Xenopus tropicalis: one gene and its partner. The protein of the gene in region 1 interacts with the protein of each later gene in a biochemical or structural test. Links are inferred from orthologs where the notes say so. Each region holds a gene or a part of one and is shown on either strand. Other genes may lie near its edges.

The links.
Region 2: the proteins of tle4 (region 1) and pax5 form a complex in vitro, tested with the Homo sapiens proteins (2 studies listed by BioGRID). The link is inferred for Xenopus tropicalis from reciprocal best matches to the Homo sapiens genes TLE4 and PAX5.

Annotation. Positions count from the first base shown.
Region 1 is NC_030677.2:133,086,807-133,090,637, forward strand, and holds part of tle4 (transducin-like enhancer protein 4), read left to right. Parts: intron 1-2,009; coding exon 2,010-2,063; intron 2,064-2,149; coding exon 2,150-2,302; intron 2,303-3,265; coding exon 3,266-3,395; intron 3,396-3,807; coding exon of another isoform or gene 3,808-3,810; coding exon 3,811-3,831. UniProt on the Homo sapiens protein: Transcriptional corepressor that binds to a number of transcription factors. Inhibits the transcriptional activation mediated by PAX5, and by CTNNB1 and TCF family members in Wnt signaling.
Region 2 is NC_030677.2:109,348,536-109,352,366, reverse strand, and holds part of pax5 (paired box protein Pax-5), read right to left. Parts: intron 1,343-3,831; coding exon 1,145-1,342; intron 1-1,144. UniProt on the Homo sapiens protein: Transcription factor that plays an essential role in commitment of lymphoid progenitors to the B-lymphocyte lineage. Fulfills a dual role by repressing B-lineage inappropriate genes and simultaneously activating B-lineage-specific genes.

The DNA of each region.
Region 1 (3,831 bases):
CGTTGCAATATGACATTGTTAACAGTTCCATTCTACTTCTGTATGTATTACAACACATATATAGCCTTCATATAGGTCCCTTATTCTCTTTAAGTCTCAGTAAAGACTTATGTAGGACATCATCTATTTTTACATGATTAATGATCCACTGCATGGCTGACCATTCTGTCCCATGTGAATAGCTGCAGCCAGCACATGCCTCTTACATCTATTGAAATTTGGTTGGCTGAGCAAGCAGATCACTGTAATTTGGCTGGCAAAGATGTGTGGTTGAATCATACATTATCCACCAACATAAGCCCATGCCTTGCTACCCTAAGGGTACCCTAAGTGCTTTTCATTGCAGTTGTTACGCTTTAGAAAACCAGCATTGCCCTTTGGAAAAAATTAGTCAATGATGTGCTACCTAAACAAAAATTGGTCTACATTTTCAGAAGCTGTCCAGCCAAGTTTAACGCAGTGTGGGACACCTGGTTAAATGCACAATCTTAATAAATCCGCCAGGCTCGCTTAAGCTCTATATACCTTCTCCTCCTTCCTTCTTTCCTTCTTTCTTCCTCTAAACTGTTATTTTTGTTCTTAAAATGTTAAAACCTTAAATAAAAACTAATAAAAAAAAAAGAAAACCAGCATTAAAAAGTTGGAAATTGGCATGGGTTGCTTCCCACTGACAACAGCCACAATTATAAAGCAGACAGTAATTATTATAAGGCTCCTTACAGCACTCTGCAAACCCTGCATGTAAGTTGGCAAACTGTATGAGCTTTGCTTTTGGCAAGGCACAGGTTTGCAGAATTTTGTACAGGTATACTGTAATAATGTTGCTAGCAGGAATTGCCACTTGCTTCTATTGGGTGCTTGCAATCAGGTCCGAACTTGGATTTAAAATAGGCCCAGGCACAGAGGCCCAAACAGCCCCCCACCAGCCTAATAAATAGTGTCTGTCTATGGCATTTTATAGCAGCCCCTCTGGCATTTGCCAGAATCCACAGAATGCCAGTCCAGGCCTGCTTGCAACAATATGTGTTTCCTAGCCTGGTTATAGTCACATTTTTGGGTTTTTTTATAACCCATACCTCTACCCAGTGTTTGCTGCCAAGAAACTAAAACTTTTTCTGCACTTGACTTGAAACCTGATCAATGATGCACACACACTGTAGGAACACCTTAATAAATTAGCCCTGTTTATTTTTGCTATAATTTATTGATTTACTATCATCAATAATCTTTTAATGAACCATACCGATGCTTTAAAAAAAAAAAAAAAATTGCAACTTCTATTTAACAATCCCAGCACAGAAAATAATGTTCTAAATTTTCCCCCATATGGACTATGCAAACCATGGTAAATAGTGTCAAATTTACCTGCCGTGCAGTTACAATTTAAATGCATGGGGCATCAAATGTGTAAAAGAAGCCATGGAAATTTCACACAGGGATTTTCCGTCAGTGAGAAGCAGCCACGTCTTGCTTAGGCAGTATATTTCACGTATATTTCTGTGGGAGGCGTTGACAAGTGTAGAGGGGGCATTATGACTGCTGCTGTTTTCCACCTGAGGGCAATGGTAGTCAAAACTCCCCATGTGCTATTAGACTAAATGCTATAATGCTTTTCAGCATAATCACTCACTCATGAAGGTCTGCAAATGAGTTCTGGTGACAGGTAAGTTGTATGCGCGTAACAACCAGCCATTGCCAGCCTCCAGGGACACTGACCCATGCTGGCCTTCCTACCACCCCTTCTGTAATTGGCGAGAAGTATTTTATGGCATTAAACTGTAAATGGCTTCATTTGCCTGATAGTCAAATGGGAGACACCCAGGCTGATCCAAATTGCTAATTTAAAAGAACTAACATGTTAGGATATACCAGAGCTCATGACCTTTAATGTCTTTTACATTTCGTTTTCTGTTTGTAAACAAATGGTAACAGTAAATGTTTCTGATGAATTTTAGTCTCTTCGTTCTCCACATATTTTTCACTTAACAGTTATTTTCTTTTTCGTTTAGGACAGTGATGGTGAAAAAAGTGATGACAACCTGGTGGTGGATGTTTCCAATGAGGTGCGTTTTCTTTCTAGTGCCTTCTAGTAACTTCGCTGGACATTCTTAAGATACAATTGCATAACCACACAATTTCTTGTTTTAAGGACCCTTCGTCTCCCAGAGGAAGCCCAGCGCATTCTCCGCGGGAAAATGGCTTGGATAAACCACGCCTTTTAAAGAAAGATGCCCCCATCAGTCCAGCCTCCATTGCCTCATCCAGTAGTACCCCTTCTTCAAAATCCAAAGAACTCAGCCTTGTAAGAAAATCTGGCTCAAACATAGAACTGTGTAAAGGAATACTGTCATGTGAAAACATGTTCTTTATTTCCCGGGGTGCTACAGCCACGTGGCCTGTGCTCTAATAAACTTCATTCACACTTAATTGCTGATCTGCAAGTTGGAGTGTTATAACCCCCCTCCCAGCAGCCGATCAGCAGAACAATGGGAAAGTAGCACGATAGCAGCTCCCAGTAGATATCAGAATAACACCAATAGTGGCAGTGGCACGAAACCCCCCATGTGTCACAGCCGTTAGGGGTCTATAGCTATTGTTTGTATTCTCTATAGGTCTATGACAAAATCAGTAGTACTCAGTGGTTTGCAAGCTAACCTAAACATGTATATTTATGAAAATACTAAATTTTATAGCACACTGGTTGCTTTTTAACCAGCTGAAATAAAGTTTAAAATCACCACCTTCTGTTGACTGGAATAGGAAGTGCCTGAGAGTTTTGGTGCTTTTCAGGCCAAACCCACTTACTGACATAAAGAACTAATTGTAATTAGCAGTTGGGCAGTTTTCATGTTCTGTAAGTAAACTACACTTAATAGGTGAATTTATGCATTCATACTCCTCTAGCAACCCAGTCACAATCATACACACCCTTGTTATTAATAGATGTTTGAAAGATCTGATTATAAAAGCACATATGTAATGACACTTCCATTAGGGTTGTTGACTTATGCTGGGTGAGTGTTTGAGGTTTTCAGTCATGTAAGCCAAAGCGTCAATAAACTGTTTACTTTTGGGAGGATCCAGAGTATTTAACATGTTGGTCTATTCCACCTTTTTGTTAGTGACAGTCTAATGCTAATGGCATTATTGTATATTTTATGTTATGTAAAGACAAGCCATTCTTGTTACAACTCAAGGTTAGTTTCTAGATTTGCAAGTTTTTTTTACGTGTGCTTTTTATTTGTCTTTTATTTTGACCCTGAAGAATGAGAAGTCCACGACTCCTGTTTCAAAATCAAACACTCCCACTCCACGAACTGATGCTCCTACACCTGGCAGCAACTCATCTGGATTGCGACCTGTTCCTGGCAAGCCACCAGGTGTTGATCCATTAAGTAAGATATTATTTATTTGACCTCTATATGTGTAGATCTGTGTTGGACAAGGGACAAACTTGGAGGCTTGGGATATTTCATAAAAAATGCACACTAAATATCTCCAGCCCCCTAGAGTTTTTTTTCTTTTTATAAACCTGAGAATACTAGTACCATAAAGAGCAAGAAAAAAGTTGGAGCCTGCAGCACCATAGTTTAATGGGCCTTATGCAGATGCAACTTTATTTCTGAGTTGTGATTTGTATTCCACTGCTCATTGTCTATATGTTGTTCGAATAGCTATAGCTGATCTAGTTAATTTTACAAAAACTAATTTGGAATATGGTGCTTAAGGTTTTTGTTTTTGTTTTGTTTTTTTTTTTACAGTTTAATCAGTGATTTGTGTTTTATGACATGTTCTTATGTCTTTAAGCAGCAGGTCTTAGGACACCGATGG
Region 2 (3,831 bases), about 24 Mb from region 1:
TAACAAATTTTTATTTACACTGTTTTTTTTATTAATAGAATCTGTTAAATGCTTATTTTAAAAGGTCATTAATTATGGGGTACCTTTATTTAAGAGAATTGATCTTGCAGCACCTCTATGTATATTTGTATGAAAATTGACAGTTTCAGCGAATGTTAATTATCTTGCTAAGTTTTTTGTATTAATTTGCATATATTAAGAAACAGTGGAAAACACACTGACTTAGAAGATATTATTATATAATATAACATTTATACAGAGAGGATTCAATAAAGAATTAGCTGACTATTCAGATCTGAATATTTAAACAAAGAAAGAGCATCTAAACATCTAAATCAATACAGCTTTACTTAAGGTAGGTTAAGGCCAGGGTATGGTCATCCGCCAATTGCCCAATAACACGTAGGTGGTGTAATACTCAAGGTTATAGGGTAATATTTTTTTTTTTATTTTATGTCCCTCACCGAGTAACATCTTGGGTAGCCCCAGCAACATTATATTTATTTTTTATGAGCTCTTGCTCTCTGGCACCCTCCAAATGTCTCAATATATGTGGGTCACAGACATGACTTTATAGCCTACTGTTCCTAATGTATACAGACTAGTAGTCAATAATGACCTCCCCCACATATTCATTTTCTTATTCTTGCATTTAGGAAAGATAATCTACTGCCACTGGACCAAGTCAGACTGGGCCACCACAGAACCTGACCTCAAGACCTACAATGGAAATAAGTAAGGGCTTAGGATAACTGTCCATGGCTGGGCCCACCAGGATATCCTCTGGTATTCCAGCAGGCCAATCCCACACTGGTGCTGGACTTCCTACCAAATTCCTACATTGTCACTGACTTGCAGTACTATTTAAAACATCTTATCAATACTTTTTCATCTATACATTTGCTAATGATTTGACAAATAAGAAGAGATAAGAGATTCTGTGATTTTTATAACTTTTAATAATTTTCTTATTAAAATCACTATTTTATCTACACAACAATACACTTGTTGGTTAACACAAGAAAAAGAGAGTAAAGTCAAAAGTAAGTATACTCCATTTAATGGCATGGTGAAGCTAGGAATGGATTATTAGTACAATAATGAAATAGAAATAGAAATGGTTTCGATGGTTTTGGTTTCTTACCTGTTTATGGAGCTGACGCTGGGAACTGTATCATTGTCACACACCCGTTCTGCTAATAATCTGTCCCTAATCTCCCATGCAAACATGGTGGGATTTTGACGCTTGTACTCAGCAATTTTTTCTACAACTTTGGGTGTTGCAACCTTTGGCTTTGATCCTCCAATCACACCAGGCTTTATACTTCCAGTTTCATAGTACCTGTTCAAATAAAATTGACAGCATATTTACAAGGTTATTATTGCTAAGTCAAAAAAAAGAAAGAAAGCAGTGAAAATGTGCATAGCAAGGAGTCCCACAGGAATAACCAGAGTCTATTATAGTGAAATGAGTCATTTAGAAGTTAGGTAGGAATTATTTAAGCAAAAGGTTAAACTTTATGGATCAATGTCTTTCTTCAATTTCACCTATTATTTTTCTGTGTAAATATATAGTCAGTTAAAAGGCATTTAAAATTCTGGTTCAATGGAATCTGAGTGTTGCACATAATGTCACCTTGATAAATTTCCTTGCATTATCAGAAATTGCAGTACGACATTCAATATAATTTCTTCATAGCATAAGAATAAAAACAATATATGATTAAGGGATAAGCTAGGATCTAATATCACCAGAGAATGTGTGTGATTAATCAAGAGTGCTATAGGAAAACAAATCACACTTAGAACCATTTTACAGCGAACACTCTGACAGTGAATTGCAGTTACTGGCAAAATGCTCCTGCTTGAAAAGGTTTTATTATTGATGGTGCCGTTTGGCAAAATTGTCCTTTAGAATGAAATCCTGATAGAAATGTCTTTTATTTTGCACAATGGCACCAATATTTTTCACGTCATCTTTCATTCTTTCCATGATACTAGTTCTCTTGAAAAAACACAGGGTAAAATGTTTTGGTAAAGGAAAAATTGGTCTTGATAAGACATTGTCATCAAAAGAAAAGTTTCTACAATATATGTGGCAGCATACCTTGTATGTTGTTCAGTAAAGCCCTACAATGCTACTAACTAATTCAAAACAAAGCACGTTAGTACTGTATATAGTAATTTGGACACAATTTGAACCAGCCCAGTAACCCACACAACCAATCATATGTTTGCGTTCATTATTCTTAAGATATTAGACATGCTGGTTGGTTGCCATAAGATACCATACTGATACAAAATTTGCTGATATTCCTACACAAATCTGTGCCACTGTTTAATGATCTATATGGTCTTTTCTATATTGGCAAGATACACAACGATATAAGCCCAAATCATTAAACGCATGTAGTAAACACCATATTGTGAAACTATAGACACAGGTACTTATTAAAACCTGTACTTATTAAAGTATATGTAATCAACATTGTAAAGAGTTGTTTTTGGTTCACAAATAATCACAGCCCATAGGACTAAATTAGCAGTTATGATTCTCCTTGGCGATAGAAATTTTATATAAGAAAATGCATTACAAATTTTTATTAAACATGCAATGACCAGTCTCCTTCTTTAGCATAAAGATCCTACCTCTTGAGGCACTAGCACTATGTCCAGTCATATCTTAGCACAGCCATTGCAAACAACATAACTTATTACTCCTGTTTGTACCTGTCATTAATCCACTCCAGTATGGAGCAGGGGCTTCCTTCCTCCTATCATGTGCCACTTGATCTTTGCCATTGTGTATATTTATTGCTGTATATAAATAAATACTTATTTTTATATTACAATATTTGTGCTGTATTTGTTCTATTTGTAAAAAATAAAGCTCCATGTCCATTGTAGCACTCTATAAATAAACATGTAAATAAATACAAATAAATCAAATGAAAACAGTTTTACTATGGAAATCATAACAATTCTAGAAGTCAAGTGGCTCTCCTGCTTTCCCACTATAAGGTTATTTTACTATACAAAAGCAATATTTCTAAGAGAAATCTTATTGTTTGACCAGTTGACCTCACAAAATGATTGGAGCTTCTGTGCTACATAAAAATATTACCCAGGTTTCATATATCTTTATTGTGCAAAAGTATAAAGTCAATCAGGGATTCTTAACTTGTGAGTCTAGTCGTGAAATGGGTACCAGTTTCATTGGGGTGGGTTTTCATGTTACCCTTTACTAATGTACCATTTCATTCTACCGCTGAGATTAGTTACTAAACAAGGAGCATAACTGGTCTGAATAAACATTTGGGTCTATAAGCTGATTCTGCAACTTCCTTTGGGTTTTCTGATAAATCTGTCCCTTAGAGAATAGGAAGGGGCACCACCCTTCCTATCATCAAAGGGACAGATTTATCAAAATGTGCGATTAGTGCTCAACACTGAAAAAGTCAGTCTCTTTCTATTAATTTCTATTGAATTTTTAGCAGCATATTTATCAGATGGGGAACTCTAGCTTCCACCCATTGATACATATGCTTCTAAAAACCCAATAAAAATAAATAGAATAGTTAATGAACGGTTCGACCATACAGAGTGGAAACAGATATCTTGGAATACTCAGCATACATTTTAATTTTATAATGGTAATTTTGTTTTTTACTCTTCAATTTCCCTTTAAGATCCTTTTTATTGGCTGCTGCTTTTAAAGCCTGAAACATAGACACATTTAGGAAAATGCAAAGAAGAACTGTAATAAAGTATTATTTTTATGTGTAATATGGATCCAGAGCTATAATGATCAGCTAATGAGATTCTATGATC